Yarrowia lipolytica: one gene and its partners. The protein of the gene in region 1 interacts with the protein of each later gene in a biochemical or structural test. Links are inferred from orthologs where the notes say so. Each region holds a gene or a part of one and is shown in the gene's direction. Other genes may lie near its edges. The genes, in order: YALI1_E18854g, YALI1_F03735g and YALI1_E39500t.

Region 1 (6,452 bases):
TGTGCCGAGAAAACATGCTTCAGGTTGGCAACAGTCTCTTTAAGTCGTCGTTCTCGCTCAGTCTGTCGCTTGACCGCATTTAGCTCAATCAGACGGTTAGCCACAACACCCAGCTTGTCGCCAAGCTCCAGCTCGACACGTCGTCGGGTAGTCTGTTCGTCCACAACCCGAGCCAGAGACTCACTCTGAGTTCTCAGAGCAGACTGGTGGGTCTTGAGTACCTCCTCAGCTTCCTTCAGTTGGGTCTGGTAGACGCCAAACTCGCTTTTAAACTCCTTGACCTTGAGTTCCGAGTCCTCCTGTGCCTGCTCCAGAGCTCGCTTATGGTCCAGAACAGGTCTGAGTTTTCGCTTCACCGTCTCAATCTCAGCCTGCTCAGCCAGCGACCGCTTGTGCACCTCATTTTTCAGCGTGCTATACTCGGCCGCGTCCTCATCAGTTCGAATAACTCCGCCTGACTCCTTCTGCTTCGATGACAGATCTCGTTCAAACTCACTGGAGGCATCCTGAACCATCTTGAGAGAGCCTCGAGTCTGCTTGACTTCGTCCTGGTGTCGAAGTAAGTCAGCCTCGACAGTGCCGTACCGAGCCTCGTGACGCGAAATGTTGCCGGACACCACAGCAATACGTTCAGCCACAGGCACGAGCTGCTGCTTGTGCTCCAGAATGACGTCTGCTCGCTTCTTTGCCGAACGCTCCTGCTTGAGCAGCCGCTTCTTGTCGCTGGCATATTTGGCAGCCACGTTTTCCACCTCCTGAGCAGCCTCCTGAACAGCCCCCTCGGCGTTCTGGATAGCAGCGTCTCCACCTTCAATCTGGTCTCGGGCCTCATCTTCGATTTTTTGGGCCTGCCACAGTCTCCACAGCTGCTGCTTCACAACGGCCTCGTCTCGCTCTGCGGCCTTGGCGGTGTACGCGTCGTAACGGTCCTTGAGCTCAACGTAGTGCTTCTTCTCAGCGTTGTAGGTACGTCGTCGCTGCCAGGCTGCGTTGCTTCGCTCAGTCTGGACATCTAGCTCCTCCTTGAGACGGTCGTATTCGGGCTTGAGATCGATGGAGCCAGAGGTGATTTCAATCAGCTTGGACAAGTCTTGAGGCGACTGACTGGCAATCTGCTCCACATCTCCCTGGAAGACCAGGAAATTTCGGGCCTTGACCAGAATGTTTTCCTTCTTCATGGTGGCATTGTATTCGCCTGACGACGTGACCTTGTTGTTGATTCGGTACTCAGACGTGCCCGAGGGTGTGATGGTTCGCTTGAGCTTGAGTAGGTCTCCATTTGACTTTTCGTACTCCACCAGAACGTATGCCGACGTGGCTTCCTGAGACTGGGTCGAGCTGACTTCCTCGCCACGCATGATTCGGCCTCGGTAGATGAGGTCCTTGAGCTGGGTGGATCGGAGCTGCGAAGACCGCACTCCGAGCACAAACGAGATGGCGTCCATCATGTTGGACTTACCCGAACCGTTGGGGCCGATGATGGCCGAGAACGACGAGTCACCGAGATCCACACGGTGCGTATCACGGTACGACTTGAAGTTGCACAGCTCAATAGCCTTGAGGGTGCCCATAGTGTTGTGATGGTGTTGTGATGGTGTGTGGTGATGTTGTGTTGAAGTGTACGCGTGTTGGTGGTAGAATGACAATTTACATTTCACTCGCGTCCATCTAAACTTTATTTTGGAATAAAAATACAGTAAAAGAAATAAAAGAAAATAAAGAAATAAAAGAAATAAAAGAAATAAAAGAAATAAAAAAAATAAAAGAAAAAAAAAAAATAAAAGAAAAAAAAAGAAATACTTTGTAAATTACGAAGAAAACAAAAATATAACTCAAGTACAAGTACTTGCTGGTTTCTCGTTATAGACATTGCGAACCACACGCACGATAATTCAGAGCTCCACGCGAATTCAGCTCCACACGATTCAGAAGCTATCAAACCAAACCTCAACGGACTGGTACTATCTGTAGAACATCAATGATAACGACTGTTGTTGTCGTCAAAACTGGTTGCTCCGGTCGAGCTGCTGTGGATCGATACTGTCTGGACAAGACTATTACTACAAGCCTATACCACTGATCTTCAGTTGAAAACAACTCAATGCGGGGTGATGGCGAATACCGATTGGAATTGGGACAGGAAAATCAGTTATCTCCAAGCTCGAGGGGAAATATCGTATCTTTTTGTGTTTTTTTCAGACGTATTCAAGTCTCAATCTTCCAAATACTGTATGCATCGCTCGTCCAGTAGCCTGCCTAAAGTTTTTGATGCGAACGCGTAAACAATAAAAGATGCGCATGTATGATACTGTTTAGGGGGTAGTCTAGACGACGCTACCATGGACCTCGAAATGGTTGGACCAGTACAGAAATTGAAGGAAAAGAAGGAGCAGAGGCTCAGAATATGGCAGTAAAGAGGATATCCACTGACCCCCCCTCCATGTTCCTGTTTCTCTAAATTTTGCCACCGCCACTCCGCGACAAGGTTCGCTTCTTACCCTACTTAATTAAGAGTGTGCACGCCTGCGCGACGCGTTCTTTCCAAAATTCATCTGCTTGTTTTCTACGCTCCACAGCAACACACACACACATACACACAAGACCACAAGATACAAGATGACGTTTGAGCTATCGACCGGATTTTTCGACGCCGTGGAGAACGCCACCAGCCGAGATGAGCTGCCTGAAAAGTTTCGGGCTCCAATTCTCCAGATTGTGCGGCCCATGAGCGAGCTGCCCGGCAAGAACAGATTCAAGGTGACTCTGTTTGACGGAGAAAAGCCCGGCATGGTGTTCGGCGACCTGGACAACCTGCCCCAAGAACGACCGGGCAAATTCGACATTGTCAAGCTCAGCAACTTTGAGCTGGTCATGGCCAAACAGCGAGGAGTCGTCTACGTCCACCAGATGGACTTCTTGAGCCACGCCGACGCGGCTCTGGGACTCGATACCGAAGAGGATGCTGAGCTTCCTGGTGGCGCTGCTGCTACTGCTCCTGCTGCTGCCACCAGCAACCCCACCCCTGCCAAGCGAATGGCTTCTACCAACGAGATTCCTGCTGGTGTCCAGGCCCAGGGATTCCCCGCCACTGTGATGCCCATTGAGCGACTTTCGCCTTACCAGAACAAGTGGGCCATCAAGGTCCGAGTCACTTCCAAGGCCGACAAGAAGAAGTTCTCCAACACCAAGGGAGAGGGCCAGCTCTTCAATGTCACCTTTATCGACGAGACGGGCGAAATTCGAGCCACCGGCTTCAACCAGGAGGTGGATAAGTTCTACCCCATGCTGGAGGAGGGCCAGGTTTACTACGTGACTCAATGCCGAGTCTCCATGGCTAACAAGAAGTTCTCCAACGTGAACAATGACTACGAGCTGGTGTTTGGCCGAGACACGGTTATCATCCAGGCGGACGAGGCCGAGGCCGCTGCTATCCCCACAGCCAATTACTCGTTTGTGACTCTCGATAAGCTGCAGGATGTTGAAGTTGGCAACAATGTTGACGTTCTTGGTGTCGTCCAGAACGTTGGTCCCCTGGAAGACGGCGTGGCCAAGGCTACTGGCAACCCCTATAAGCGACGAAACCTCATGTTGGGAGACAAGAGTGGATTTGCCACCCGTCTGACTTTCTTTGGAGAGAAGGCCACTTCCTTCGACGAGGGAACTGTTCCTGTTGGCACCATTATCGCCATCAAGGGCGCCCGCGTTGGCGACTTTAACGGCCGAAACCTGTCCACCAGTCACAGCTCCACTATTGCCGTGGAACCAGCCATCGACGAGACCTACGCGCTCAAGGGATGGTATGCCTCTGAGGGTAAGCAGACGAGCTTTAAGCAGCTGCAGACAACTACCACCAACAAGCCTGTGGCCGCCACACCCATTGATGTCGCCACATCCAGCTACGGACAGTCAGAAAAGCCCGACTACTACACCCTACAGGCTTGGGTCGTGCACGTTCGAACCGGCAACTTTGCATACCCTGCTTGTCAGACTCCGGACTGTAACAAAAAGGTGGTCGAGCATGGTGACGAGTGGCGATGCGAAAAGTGTGAAAAGAACATGGATAAACCTCTTTACAGATACATCCTCTCCATCAACGTGGGAGATGCCACAGGAAGCATGTGGCTGACGGCATTCAACGAGCCTGCTGAAGTGATTATGGGCATGACCGCAGATCAATTGACCGAGATCCAGACTAGCCAAGGAGACGATGAGTTTGAGCAAGCTGTTCAGAAGGTCACCGGCAAACAGTACACTCTGCGATGCCGATCCAAGCAGGAGTTTTACAACGAAGAATCCAAGGCTCGTCACCAGGTTCTTACGGCGCAGGCGCTCGACTATCTCAAGGATATTGATGAGCTCATCAAGGACCTCGACCAATACATGTAATGGGGGATTGGTGTTACTAGTTGTTATGAATGATGGGGGTATATATAGTTTATGAAAGATTGTAATTTAGCGCAAGCAAGTAGTTCTGTCGTGAGTTCATCATTCATCATTATCTATAATCAGTTCTTGTGGCAAACACTGTCGTTGGCTACCTGTTAGTAATCCGCTTCCACACGTTCAACGCTACAGCATCCACAGCACCGAGATTAGGAGCTGCAACACTCTGCTGCACCTTGAACAGCTTGGTGTGGGTTCGGTTCCATACACCCACTGCAGCGGCACCCGTACTGTACCCTGTGCCCACAGTGTCAGCTAGGGAGGTCACTTGACGACCCACGCGAGCCTCATGGGTGTAGAGACTGGTCCAAATGAGAGATAGATACCAGCCAAGAAGCACTGGGTCCCACTGAAACTCAATCTTGTGGAACTTTGTGGGCTGCACAGGAGGATTGAGGGTGCCTATAGTGTCGATCATCGTGGAGGGTGTGTCTTTAGTGGTCTTGGGCTCGTCGCTAGCAGGGCTTGTGCTGGAGCTTGGTGGTGGTACTGCGGAGTATGTGTTCAACCCAGGGACAGAGGACTCAATCATGGCGTAGACCGTGTCAATGGTGTCGAGTGGAAGGTCTTCTAGCCATGACAAGTCCTCCTCACCATTTGTAGGCTCCTTTCCTTTCTCCTTCACGAGGCGATGCAGCTTTTCAAATGACGACCGTCGCTTCTGTAGAACAAAGACAAGCGACTTGTTGGCCTGAAAGTTGTATTCAAGCATGGCGTTGATGGACTCCAGGGTGAGCTCCAACAGGAAGCGGTTTGTGGAGTTGGCGAACAAGAAGGAGGGCGATGACAGAACGTCGAAAATGTCAACCAGCTGGCACGACACCGTGTAGTCGATATGCTTGGCCTGCACAGACAGGTTGTAGATGCATTCAACCAGAGTGGGGATGATGGGGTTGATTTCTTCACGAGGTTGAGTGATGACAGAGAAGAGCTGGCCAAGCACATAGTTGAAATTCACAGTGCCATCGTCGAACGAAGACACAACCACATCATCATCACTCAGATAGAGCAGGAAGTTACTGAGCAGCCTCAGAGTCTGCGTGCTCTCACACATTTTGATTTGTTGCAGAATCGATAGAATGATGTTGTCGAGGTACCCCTTCTTTAGAAGCCACGGCAAGAATCGCTTGTTGGTCTGAATGATCTCCCATAACAAACAGATAATCTCGTTGGTGCGTGTTTCCTTCTTGCCAGTCAAAATGGAGCCAGAGGAGGCCGAGAACTTGGCCAGAATCTCGCTAATGTGTCTTGCAATGAACTCAAAGTCCACATCCTGCTTGAGTTTGCCCAGAAAGTATCTGAAGTTGTTCTTCACGCCCGGCTCCGGGGGGTAGTAGACAACAAGCAGAAGCAACAGTTCCAGGGCCCAGAACGCCGTCTGAGAGCCCCCAAACACGACTGTTTGGAAGGCATTGGCATCGCGCAACAACCGCACCAGCGACAAGTTGAGCAGAGAGCACAGTAGCAACAGGGTGTCGCTCTTACCAAGCCCGCTGACAATGCACGTGAGAAACCGGGAGCCCTGCGTGGTAACATGGTTAACACTAGTGTACAGCTGTTTGCACGAGCAGCACACGAGTAACCTGAGAATCTCGCAGCGATTTCCCTCCTGCGCGCTGGTCACCCCTCCTTCCACGCTGTGACAACCCACTCCCATTTCCCAGATTTGCGAGGTGCCGCATAGCTTTTTATTGAACAAAAGCGACACGAGCTTTGTCACCAGCTTCTCGCCCAGAATGTCGTTGCTCCAGAAGAGATCGTCATCAAACGTCTTGGTGCCACTTTCAAACACAATTGGTAGCACCCTGGTGAGAACGCGAATGCAATTGAGCAGTTGCGGCTCGGGCGTTGTATCGTCGCAATTGATAATCTGTTGGCTCACGACTCGGACCAGAGTGGCTATATTGTCTGGAAAAGTCTGGAGCGCCGTTCGGACATCGTTCTCGCCCACCAGTGTGAAGATGTCGCTGGCGTTTTCCGGAACCATCCATAATTTGCTCCAGAAGATG
Region 2 (6,229 bases), on another chromosome or scaffold:
TTGCAGGTAAATGAAGGTATGTAACGACCGTCATTAGTGCGATAGTCAGAGACATTATCCCAACCACCTCTCTTGATAATGCCGTTTAGAGTTAGAAGCCGCACAGAAGTTGAATTTATTGTTTTCAACCAAGAGTGACATTGCAAGCACGGGTATAGTAGCTACAGTGCGAGGACGGTACTTTTACGGTCTACGTCGGCCTTGGTTGCATTAATTTATGACTCGATGTGTCTATGTATGTTTGACCGCCCTATTCAAAAAGTCCCTTATTCCACCTGTCCTTAGACATGTCCTCCTTCGACTGCTGTATGTACAGTTCGACTACAGTAGCTACAAGCAGCACTCCTCCAGCTACTCGTACCGTAGTTACAGCCTAGCTATAAAGCTTGCGGATCTCTCGCTGGACAAGAGGAGTCAGATCCATACCCTCGATCCACTGCTCGAACCGGAACACGATTCGAGAAAATGCCGTTTGGGCCGAAGACCGAATGAAAACGATATCGGACATTTCCTCGTCGATATCGTCAGGGTTGAACTTGACGTCGGTCCAGCTCACAGGGGGCTTTCGCAGCAGCTCGTCTAGAGCAACCATGGACTGGCACAAAGTGTCCAGAATCTCGGGAATGGTTCTCTGCACGCTTCCATACCGGTCCTCGTCGATGGAGTGGAAGACTAGGAATGACAGAGCCATGATGGCGTTGCAAGTGAGTAATGGCTCAGGCACAATTCGCTTACATCGTCTCTGGATGGTCTGTCTGAAAGGAGCGCCAATTGGAAGTCTGAGGAGCTGAATCATCTGGGTCTGGTAGCCGCCCAGAAGCTCGGTGAACGTCTTGAAGAGCTCAGACACAGACTCGGAAAATTGGTTGGAAGTAGTAGCCTCCTTGTCTTGGAACACCTGAACCACCTTGGGGAAATCCGGTTTGGGGTTCTTGAAGATGTTGTCCCTTCTGATGACGATTTGGGGAGCCTCGGGACGGGCCGTAGACACCAGGTCGGCCTGCTGCTTGCCCTTGTAGTCAAAGGGGTTGGGCTTCGGCTTGGACTTGACTTTACCAATGGACGAATTGGCTGCCTCGGTCACAGCTACAATCTGTTTCTTGCACTCGGCGTATACCTCGACCCACATGCTCTGATCTCTGCTGAGATCTTCAAACATTTGGACTCGTCCCTGTGGAGAGAAGAGGGCCACGTAGAGCAGCTCCTGGAATGCCACCGATTGCGGGTAAACGTGCTTGGAGTCTCGCAGTCCCGATACCAAAGTTCCGTTTCTGTCGGGAGACGATTCACTGATTCCTTCGCCCTTGCGTAGAGGTCCCAGAGACATGTAGATGGAGAAGGTGGTGTTGACGAGATTCCACAGAAGCAACAGGATTGCTGAGGCGATGAAAGTGTCCATGACCAGCGAGAATCGTAGACCGGGATACACCTCGGGGGTCTGTGCCTTGTTGAGTCCGTACCAGTAGCCCGACAGTGACATAGTGATGTTCCAGATCTTGGTGCGGAAGCTGGGGTAGAACATGATGGGGTAGACGACCAGAGAGAAGCCCGCCGACAGAGTGCCTGCATTTTTGACAATGTCGGTCATCTGGTGCTTGAGTCTCTCCATGGGTCGAGCGGGTTCTTCGGTCACAGGCTGTACAATGAGCTTGTCAATGTCCTTGGCGATGTGGAGCACCGACTGGGCCAGAGACAGAGCAATTGGGAACACCATCAGGTAAAGGGCATTCTCGTTTAGCATAGGCTGGGTCAACGGGGTAGCTCGGGTGGTGAAGGCCGAGTTCTCTGTCGACATGGCCTTGGTGTAGTAACCGAAGAACATGGATGCTGACAGCATGTATGCTGCGAAGGTGACGACAAACGTGGTTGAGAAGATACGATCACAGATCTCAGCAGCCAGTGACAGGTACGGCAGCTCCCGTATGTGCAGGTCGGCCTTTCTCATGATGACGACCGGCAACAGACCCAGTAGTAGCCAAGAGGCTCGTAGAGGTAACAGGCACCACCACCATGAGGAGTCATCTGACGACGCCAACACCCGTCGTAGCACCTCAATCACAATTCCAATCAGATAGCAAAGCGTGAACAGCAGCCGATACATGTTGCCAAATCTGTATTTCATCACCAGCGTCATGAGACTGTGGTATGGGATGGGTTCCGACCGGGCACTAGGCACCGGCATCATTCGCGATACGCTGACCATGTGGTGTGTGTATTGTGAGTTGTGTGTGTGAGTATGTGTCGGTAATCGTTTCTTCTAGTTTGGATGATGCAGATTCGTTAGTAGTAGCGGTGGTTGCGGCGGTTATGTGGTTGTTTTGGTTCACTTCTTGATCTCGCAAGCTTCCAGAATCTTTTTCAGAGGCTATCCAAACATGCAGAAACAACAATGCAGAAAGCTTGAGTAACAATCAGTGGATGGAGACAGGTTAGAGGAGAATACTTGGTGGGCGGGAGGGGGAGGGAGTGGGAAGGTGAATGGAGTAATTGCAGTTGATTTATATTGGTCGGTTGATTCATTGTCTTATTAGTTTTCTCGGCGACCCTGAAACTGCCACCTCCCACAATTTATTTATATATAGTTTCGGCAACCTCTCACACGTTATTTACAGTACTTGTATATTCAGACTACCAACTAAATCACAACTAATATCCCAACAGCGCTTACTTATCCCTTGCCCCCTCCAACGCCGCCAACTCCACTTATTGACGCTGAAGAGATACATTTTTTGCTTTATATGAAACATCGCTCCTTTATCTATCCAATTATATCCTTCTTTTTGTTACACCATTTCGGGAAGATCGAAATAGCTACCCCTAGCTGACTTCTTCTCTCAACAAATTTACATCTAAAGCTAAGTAACTAAAGTTGGTGACTAAGAAGTGGAAGTCCTTATATAGGCAAGTAGGTGCTGTACGTAAGCAGATTCTTCACTGGTGATGTTACCGCATTGTGAAGAGCAATATCTACGTCTCCCGGTCACGTGCCATGTTGTAGGGGCAATCTACGCCCGCCGCGTTCTCACAGCAAGCTTGAATTTGTAATCGAGAGAGCGTTTCGCGTGTGGACGTGTTGACACTAAAACTGTAAAATTCAAGACTGAACCAGGAACACCTCAAGAGTATTATTTAGAAGATTATAAGGGCGGTGACAAAGCTGAAGCAATGCTAATGCTCATTATTCATGTCTAACTTGCTCTTGTTTTCTCCTCACCCACCATCTTCACGCCCTCCGTACCATATCTTGCTCTCCTCTAAGACTGCATTTTTAGCTGCTTACTCTGATCATAACATTGCAGGTATTTTTCCTGCATCGACATAGACGCGTCACACCAGAGAAGTTCACCTGCAAGGATACCTGCTTTTTCGTTGTAAGAAAAAAGTGCCTGACAAAAACTACTTCCTCAGTGACAAGCATCTGATCGTAACGAAACGACTTCGTTTCCGCCGGTACCACAACACTAACCACCTTGTTTCCTAATTGCATCAAAAAACGCCACCCGCTCTACTAGCAATGCCACAGTTCGGAGACCACTACGCGCTGCCTGATCCACCCAAAGCCATCACCACGGGCTCTGGGGGCGCCCCCAACATTCCTTACTCGCGCAGCGAGGAGCGACAGGTGTCTGATCTGCTCAAACACAACCTGGGCCCCGAATTTGTCTCCAAACGGCCCAGTCCGGGAGGTCGAAGCGTGCACTACTTGGAGGGCTGGAAGGTGTTCAATCTGGCCAACGAGATCTTCGGCTTCAACGGTTGGCGGTCGCAGATCATCAAGCTGGAGGTCGACTACTGCGACCAGAACCCCGACACAAAGCGATGGGACGTGGGCGTCTATGCTATTGTTCGTGTCCATCTCAAGGACGGCACCTATCGGGAAGACACGGGGTCCGGCAATGTCGAGAACTGCCCCAAGCGAGACATGGCGCTCAACAAGTCGCGCAAGGAGGCTGTGACGGATGCATTTAAGCGAGCCATGCGTCAGTTTGGCCCCTCTCTGGGCAACTGTCTGTACGACTCGGAATACCTGAGCAAGCTCAAGACGGTGCGATCTGCCAAGTACACGTTTGATGAGAATAATCTGATTCGAAAGCCAGAATTTGTCATCAAGCGTGATATCAAGCAGGAGCAGGCCACTGCTGCCAACATTACTGCATCTACATCCACATCCACCACCTCGCATAATCAGGATCCTCCTGCTCCAGCCCCTGCCCCTGCCCCTCCTGCGCCTTCCGTCAGCCTCCACGGTCATTCAAACACATCCAGCAACCGCAGCAAGGCCGTGTCCATAGAGGCCATGTGCGAGGGCATCGACTACTCATTTGACGACGACGATCTCGACCTCGACTCCCTAGTGCCCCAGCTCAAGGCCGGACGCAACCCTTCGCCCTCCATCTCCGCTGAGGACTTTGACGAAGACCTGCCCATTTCGGCTGAGGCAATGGAGGAGGACGGATCGCCTATCCCCGTGGGCTTCTTCAAGGCCAGCGTTGCGGCAGATATCAACAAGGGCAGTCCCATTTCACAGAATGCCGCGTTTGACATCAACATCCAAAGTCCTTCCATTAAGCGCACCTTGGAGCATAATAGGAGTGTGCCTATTGCCAAACCACGTCCTCCCATGCACCCCAAGTCCACCAACATTCCCCCCAGCCCATTGTCCAAGCCGTTAGTGAATCCTGTGAAGCCCGAGTTTACCACCCCTGTTGCCAAAAAGCACAAAATTAACGAAAATGATGAATAGAAAACGAGGGATGGACAGATGGAGGGTGTATATTAGCTTCTATCAATTTGCATATGAATGGTGTACAGTCAGAGTAGCAAGTGAATTTCAAGTGTGCTGTATGTAGTCGTCCTGTACCGCTGTAGGCGACTGGACCAATAGGGATGGTGTTGTTCTGATGTCCAGAGCTACAGTAAGCGTCGTAGTTAGTTTTATTGGCCTCCAATTAATGTGTCGCGTTTTACTGTACAGATACTGGTGACTGTACTTGGCCTTCCAGTGTGCTGTGATTTACTTGCTCATTGTTTTGTTGTCATTGTCACCATCCGTTGTATTAATTTACCAGTGTTGTGGCAAGGCACTATCAACTATTTCACCTAATAATAACCCATCCATAATCTATAATCGGAGAGTCACGTCGTTCATCCAGTCTCTCTCCACTATAATTTTGTTACGTAACATTTTTGTGATGCACATTAGTCTCTTAGTCGTCGTAGTACTCGTCGTCAGACTCCTCCACGAGCTGCTCAAAGTTGACCTTGTACCGGAGCAGAGCGCCGATACCACCAAAGCCCTGGACGAACTGGGCACCCTCGGAGGACCGGTCTGTGACAAACTCCAGCTGGGCGCCAAAGTCCTTGTAGTGCTCGGCTAGCCACTCGAGCAGAGGAATCTCGTCGACCACCTCCAGCTCGTTACCCTCCTTGTCGATCAGGTATTCCTCGGTGGGAGTTCCCTTCTTGATGTGCACAATGGTCTCCTCGCCATCGTTGTTCTTGAGAGTCATTCGCTGGATGTCAAGGTTCTCGTAGACAATGACAGTCTCGCAGGCTCCGAGATCCAGGGCCTTGAGAGTCTCGTCGTAGCCGTAACAGAACTTTCCAGAGTCCATGGAGATCTCGTCGAAGTACTGGGTCAGCAGCTTCTTCTCCTGAACGAACTTGACGTTGGACAGAGTCTCGGCAGACAGCTCGATGGCCTGGTTGAAGCCGTTCTCTCCTCCGTACGACACATCGACAGTCTTGATGACCTTAGCGTGCAGACGGTTGTCAAAGAGATCAGAGCCGTTCAGCTCGGTCTTGAAGTCGGCAGAACCGGCCAGAATCAGACCGTTGACGTTGACCTTGTCGTTTGTGATGAAGTTCTGGACAGCCACCTCGGCCACCTTTCGCACGTAGTTGTGTCGCTTTTCCTCTCGCAGTCGGGAGAATCGCAGCGCGGACTGACCACCACGACCATGCTTCTTGGGCAGATCAACGGTGAACTTGTGCAGAACCTCTCGGGTGTTTCCGGACAGAGTACCGAACAGGGCTCCGTTACCGTCCATGACAATGAAGCCAAACTTGGAGTCGGACTCCAGCAGCTCTGACAGAGCCTCGGTATGGAACTTGTTGTCACACAGGTAAAGAGAGGTGTTGATGGGCTTGAAGGGCTCGAAGTCAATGGACATCTTCTTCTCCTTGCCGTCGGCAGTAATCACGTCTCCACAGTAGATAACCAGACCGT
Region 3 (6,661 bases), about 2.1 Mb from region 1:
TTCGTTACCAGCCCCTTGGGTCGCTCCCCCCACTCTTTCGTTTCATCGGTATATAACGACGCATCTAACATGTATGCCAGGTACGGATCCTGACAAGTGAGACAAACACAATACAAACACAATGGAATACTCGTACAGTGGAAAGAATGATGGGGGACGGCACCAGGGGGTACACTTCAGGTGGAGAAACGGCATCGACCATACCTTTATGGGGTACATTAATTGGTTGTTTGACCTCGAAGATCAACAAAGAATCTCCAACTGCCCATGACCATCCACCGTTGAGTTTGTTGGTCAGTCAGACACAATCTGTGCTGTCCCCAATACCGCACATGCTGTACAGAAAACGCGCAGTTTCAGCAGGATATCTTAGAGACAGGTTTTCAATCCTTCGTTTATTTCGCTTTACGCCCCTTTGTGGTTCATTCCATTGCGGTAGTCGAGGCATGTATACTGTCCAAGTTTGTTTCAGATTTTGAGCACCGTGTTTTGAATTAGCATCGCAGTCTCATTTGGCTGTCGTGTGTACTGTACGAGTTCTATGAGGATATGATGTTACCTGTTCCAAGCCAAGAATGAACCAATCTCACATGTTTGTCCAAGTGCGGATTTGTCTCACCTGGACCCCTGTCTTGGAATGTCTTGGTCATATTATTTGGCTCCTCTAGAAACCCGTTTGCGGGTAAGGAAGCAACCTGTGCATGTTGCATCACGGCCCGCACTGCCACTACAAGTACTGTACGGTAGAGGCAGTTGAGACAGGTCTATTGAGATGGAATGGGTTTTGAAACAACAAATATACATTATAATTCTCTTTTTTTTTAATACATTCTGTCAGTTCGCCGAAGAAAAATACCTTAAGAATGTCATTTCTTGCTCGTCAAAGAGAGGTTGAAAAACATCATTGAACTTCAACTGAAGTGCTTCCATCTACAAGTTTTGTTTGGAAACAGAGAGAGACAAATCCCTTCCAGATACAAGTAGCTTTTGTTAAAGATAATTAGACCATGTACTGTATCATTAAAATAGGGACAGCAATCCCATGTTCCAGATACGTAACGAGAAAGTCATTCATTAACGTGTTCACCATTTGAAACTTCCTAAGTGCGTTTATTATTACTGCTGTATCGAGTGTAGCAGATTTCTTTCGTTTTTTTTATGATTCCGTTTATTTCCATATGACTTTAGTTGAGTTTAGTTGATACCCGATGTGAAAACACCCTACACATTAACAATCTTGTGCTCATACATACTGTACTTGACTTCTGTTTCTCTACAGCATCAATGTTCACCAAATTTCAAATTTAGACGCGTAATACCACTCATGTGGTTAGGGTTAGCACGGATCTCTCAAACACGATCCCGAGTGCAAATATCGCATTTTACACCTTTATTGCATTTAGTACAATATCTATATATATATAGACACCCTATCTTATCACTTACAGTACTTTCCTTACACTTGCTATCTTACTGCACGTGTCACTGTGTTTTTTTTTTTTTTCTGCATATACATTCATTTAATTATAACTTTGCTGTGAAAGAATAACCTTTGAAATGAATGTACGCTTACACGAATATTACTAATTAAACACGTTTAGTGTCATGGTCCAACTTGGCACGTACCTATTTCCAGTAAAAAAATCATAAAAAAACCTGGTTCAGTCCGTGTTGTATGTTGGTCCACATAGCTTCGCGTGTTTGTTCGTTCATCGGGAAAACGCCACTCCAGTCTCCAGTTCTCTAATCTCAATCCTTCCATTGCCCTCTTCGTTTGCATTGCCTTTGAAAATGTCTCCTTGTGGTTCTTCTTCGTCATTGGTTTGGTTCTGCGTCCCCTGTGGTGACTACGCGCCCTGCTACGCTGTTCTCTCGGTGGCCTCGGCCGCCTTTTACGCTTGCTACTGTGTCTACTCTCGCTCATCGTGAAGTGCTGGCGGTTGTCCATCGTAGAAACACATCTGGGCTTCCTTCAGGAATTGAAGCAAACCCTGTTGGACATGTCCCAGGGTGGCGTCGTCCCCTGAGTACCGGAGGGATCTCTCCATCTTCCAGATCCCATATGTTCTCACGGTGACTTCTGTGAAACCCACCAGATCTGAAGCAACGCCACCTTAACCGTGTCGACGTGACGCGTCAGACACGCAGTGACACACAAATTGAAAAACATACACACCTCACAACATTGATCTGATCCACGCCACCAAACAACATGTCGAGATATTTTCTGGGGTCTGTGCCCCAAGATGATCCGTCACCGGCTGCTGAAGAGGACGAAGACCCGTCCTCCGACTGGTCGGCAGCCACACCCATAAGGCCAAGGGAAAACATCCCCAGTTCGGAACAGTACGAGTCCAGTGATGGCCACATTTCTTGCATTCTCTCCCCGCTAGACAGGAACATTGTGATCCCTGACCAGAGCGACGAGCCTCCGATTCCAGTGGTCCTTGATCCAACCGAAATCCTTCTGAGACGCTACCGACCCGAATCATTCAACAACTCTGCCGCCAGCTCAGCGGCAAATTCCACAACGGTAAAGGCTTCTTCGGCTGGTTCAGATGCCAACGCCACAAGCAACTTCACCAACAACCTGGATCTCAACACGACAGTCATTGCAGACGATCCGTTCGTGGAGGCGGTGTGCTCTACGCCCAAGGGAAGGGACATTAGCGGACGCTTTGAAGAGACTACACCAACAAGAGGTCCACCCGCTCCAAAGCCAGAAGAGTCTTACAAGTTGTCATCTTCACCGCCAAAGGCCACAGCTGAGAAGCCTTCCATAACCACCAGCATCGAGGGTTTGAGTAGTCAGCTTGATATCCTTGATGACTTGGATGACGACGATATTGATTTTGCATTGACCCAACATACCCAGAAAAAGAAGGAAGTCAAGTTAACACAACCTACCATTAAAAAGGAAACTGATATCCACGTTTTGAAGGACATTGAGGACCTAAAAAAAACGCGTGGGTCTCCCATTAAGCTTTCAAAAGCATCAATGGGGTCTAATATTAGGCCCCTGACTGAAGTCAAGAAGGTTGATGTCAAGTCATTCATTGACGACCTGGAGGACGAAGACTTTGATAGTGATTTGGAACTCGAATTCACACAGGTTCGGGCCAAGAAGAAGCCGCGCCTTCAGACATCGAGATATAAGCTCGTCACTGACCATGTTATGTCTCAACGAACTCACAAGGAAAACGCCTTACCCGTGGAGATTGACTACAAACGAGACGATGTTCTGCGGTTCAGAATCGTCGAAGTGGAGGAAAGTTCGACTCAGATCGCTCTAGTTGTGGAGGACAGCAAGGCCCAGCAACACCGTGTTGCTTTGCGAGGTTGCTGGATGCGAGCAATACCTTGTGTGGGAGACATTTGTCATTTGATCGATGAGTCATCAAATGACGACATGGATCTCGATTTCGAGATGGATTTCGACTACATTGTGGACGACATGAAGGGCGATATGCTTTTTATTCTGAATCCTGACACTCTGGTGACCTGTACAGCCGTTGCTGAGGCCCACCAGTGCACTCGAAACGTGGTTCTGAAAGACAAAATGCAGGGACCGAGAGGAATCGGGTCTATTTTTGCACTCTTGGGTGTCATTATCCACGAGACCATCCAGATGTGCTTTGGAGCTGTGAGATACGACGCCGAGTTTGTGGAGTCATGTGCTGAGACCGTTACCAAAGCAAACATGGATGGCATCATGCTCTCTGGTGAGAGTTTTGACTCTGTGTTTGCCAAAATCAAGGACCGACTACCGAACATTGTGGAGTGGTTTAGAGAGTATATGCGTCAGACTCCCTCTGCAGTGGCGATTGAGAATCGAACAGGTAAGAAGAGAACTCTTGCTATCACCAAAGTTGTCGATGTTGAAGAAGAGATCTGGTCTCCGCGATACGGAATCAAGGGTAAGATCGATGCCACCATTGAAGTCCGGGAGGGAAACCACCGATACTTGGTTCCTCTGGAAGTCAAGACGGGAAAATCTACAACTCATATTCCCCACCGGTCGCAAACGGCGCTGTACACTCTCATGTTGCATGATCGGTACACTTGTCCCATCAACTTTGGAGTTTTGTATTACTCTGCCACCTCTGAGACCCTTGTCATTCCAGCTGTCAAGGACGAAATTCATAACCTGCTTGCTATTCGAAACGAGGTTGCTAGCTTCATGCGACAAGGGTCTCGAGACATGCCTGACGTTATCTACGATCAAGGCCAGTGTGACCGGTGTTTCCAGAAGTCGGAATGTATGGTCTATTACCGACTCTACGATACGTATTTGAAGGAGTATATGGGTGAAGATGGTGGAGCGACCGCCAACAAGGCCAGATTCTTGCAGGAGACCGAACATGTGACTGAGAAGGACTCTCAATTCTTTAACCACTGGGATGCCTTGCTGGCCAAGGAAGGAAGTGATACTGCAGTGCTCAAACGAGAGGTGTGGACCATGCTGTCCAAGGATAGAGAAAGGGAAGGGAGGTGAGTATTGATGAGATTATGCTGCCTTTAATTTTACTAACAGAGATGTTTCTCAAGCCTTATTATTGACAACGTGGAGAAGAATGCCAATTCATTGTGGTACACGTTCAAGTCTCCTGATGGAAGCGAGATCCCCTATGCATCTGTCAACATTTCGCCGGGTGACCGAGTAGTCATTTCTGATGAGGCTGGTCATTACTGTTTGGCTATGGGTACTCTGCTTGGCTCGTCTTCAGAGACTGTGCGATGTGCTCTTGATCGTCGACTTGAGTTCTCTCTGCAGAAACTCCAGGGTTTCAGATCCAACGACAACCAGGTTTTCCAGAGCATGCTGACCCACAGTTCTCAGAGCCATGAAGCCCCCATAGATTTTAGGTTTCGGGTTGATCGTGACGACTTCGCTTTTGGCCTGGGAGTTGCCCGTAACAACCTGTTTTCTCTGTTTGCCAAGCATCTCGGTACCGATGAGAGCCCCCAGAAGATCGAGCAACTGCGTTCATGGATTGTTGATTTGGCACCCCCTCAGCCTGTTGCTGGAGAGCCCACTGTCAAACTCGGTCGACTCAATTCCGACCAGACTAGGGCTGTCCACCACATCCTGAACTCAAAGGATTACAGTCTTCTACTAGGAATGCCTGGAACCGGTAAGACCACCACCATTGCTGAGATTATCATGGAGCTGGTCAAGAACGGAAAGACTGTTCTCCTGAGTAGTTTCACTCATTCTGCTGTCGACAACATTTTGTTGAAGCTGATGCAGCACCCTTCATGTAACTTCGACATGCTGAGATTGGGAAGCACCTCCAAAATTCACCCTGAGGTTGCGGAGCATTACGCAGCCAACAACCGACGGAACTACGAGACCCGAGAAGAGTTCGAGAAGCTTTTTCTTGCTCCTCCAGTTGTTGGTGCAACTGCCTTGGGTATTGGAGACTGGGTTCTTCAGGAGCGTCATTTCGATTACTGCATTGTTGATGAGGCCTCCCAAATCACCCTTCCTTTCTGCCTCGGTCCAATCCGCTATGCAGACAAGTTCGTTCTTGTTGGAGATCATTACCAGCTGACGCCCATTGTCAAGAATCCGGAAGCTGCTGGACTGCGAGAGTCTCTTTTCAAGATGCTATGTGACGCACATCCCACCCAGGTAGTTAATCTGGGTATTCAGTACCGAATGTGTGCTGATATCATGTTGCTGTCCAACACTCTGATCTATGATGGCAAGCTGAAGTGTGGTAGTGACGAGGTGGCCAACCAATCTTTGGCTGTTCCTCAGCTCTCCAAACTGCGTACTTTGTACGCCGATGGACTCCCCAATGGCGACTATCTAGGTCATGTTCTGGATCCCAAGCGGAAGGTTATCTTCCTCAACACGGATCTTGTTCCTGCGCAGGAAACTATTGCCGGCGATAGAATCCATAACCCCACTGAAGCTGTCATAGTGGGCCAGATTGTGGAGGCTCTTTGTCTGTGTGGCGTTGAAGACTCACAGATTGGATGCATCTCGCAGTACAGAGCTCAGCTGAAACTTATCAACAAGGAGCTTGCCCTGCGAAGTGGCATCGAAGTTATGACCGCAGACAAGTTCCAGGGCCGAGACAAGGACTGCATTGTGGTGTCTCTCGTGCGGTCAAACAACGAGCAGCGAGTCGGTGATCTTCTCAAGGATTGGCGACGGCTCAATGTGGCCTTTACGCGATCTCGATCCAAGCTCATTGTCATTGGATCTCGAGCTACCCTTGAGTCGTTTGATCTTCTCAAGGAGTTCTTGCGTCTGATCGATGACAATGGATGGATGTATTCGCTTCCAAAGGACTGTACTAAGATGTACAGCATTGTCAAACAGGGTACTTCCCCTAGAAAGAAGCAAAAGCGTGTTGGCCTGAGCCAGCGCTTGATCGATAACCGGCCTATCATGAAGAACATTCTTGAGGGTCTTTAGATAATATATATTATTTCCATTCATTTAATTCTCAACTTGTCTACTTATGGTTGGCTGCTGCTACTTGTAACTAATACATATATCAACACTGTCTTCATTCACGATTATACTCACTACGTAATTAGTTAGACTACACTTTGCTATCATCACTTACTGCACTCCAATCTGAAGAGAAGGCGTCTGATGACTCTAGCGATAGCAGATCTCCATCCGAGAATTGCGGCTCCTTGG

The links.
Region 2: the proteins of YALI1_E18854g (region 1) and YALI1_F03735g form a complex in vitro, tested with the Saccharomyces cerevisiae proteins (2 studies listed by BioGRID). The link is inferred for Yarrowia lipolytica from reciprocal best matches to the Saccharomyces cerevisiae genes RFA1 and RAD52.
Region 3: the proteins of YALI1_E18854g (region 1) and YALI1_E39500t form a complex in vitro, tested with the Saccharomyces cerevisiae proteins (3 studies listed by BioGRID, with this or other methods). The link is inferred for Yarrowia lipolytica from reciprocal best matches to the Saccharomyces cerevisiae genes RFA1 and DNA2.

What each region holds. Positions count from the first base shown.
Region 1 is NC_090774.1:1,882,783-1,889,234, forward strand, and holds YALI1_E18854g (uncharacterized protein), read left to right. Parts: upstream 1-2,616; coding exon 2,617-4,386; downstream 4,387-6,452. Other genes in the region: YALI1_E18843g (uncharacterized protein), read right to left, coding at 1-1,571; YALI1_E18895g (uncharacterized protein), read right to left, coding at 4,535-6,452. UniProt on the Saccharomyces cerevisiae protein: As part of the replication protein A (RPA/RP-A), a single-stranded DNA-binding heterotrimeric complex, may play an essential role in DNA replication, recombination and repair.
Region 2 is NC_090775.1:370,031-376,259, forward strand, and holds YALI1_F03735g (uncharacterized protein), read left to right. Parts: upstream 1-3,514; coding exon 3,515-4,744; downstream 4,745-6,229. Other genes in the region: YALI1_F03722g (uncharacterized protein), read right to left, coding at 374-2,203; YALI1_F03765g (uncharacterized protein), read right to left, coding at 5,208-6,229. UniProt on the Saccharomyces cerevisiae protein: Involved in DNA double-strand break (DSB) repair and recombination. Promotes the annealing of complementary single-stranded DNA and by stimulation of the RAD51 recombinase.
Region 3 is NC_090774.1:3,947,828-3,954,488, forward strand, and holds YALI1_E39500t (uncharacterized protein), read left to right. Parts: upstream 1-2,212; coding exon 2,213-4,491; intron 4,492-4,536; coding exon 4,537-6,430; downstream 6,431-6,661. Other genes in the region: YALI1_E39553g (uncharacterized protein), read right to left, coding at 6,561-6,661. UniProt on the Saccharomyces cerevisiae protein: Key enzyme involved in DNA replication and DNA repair.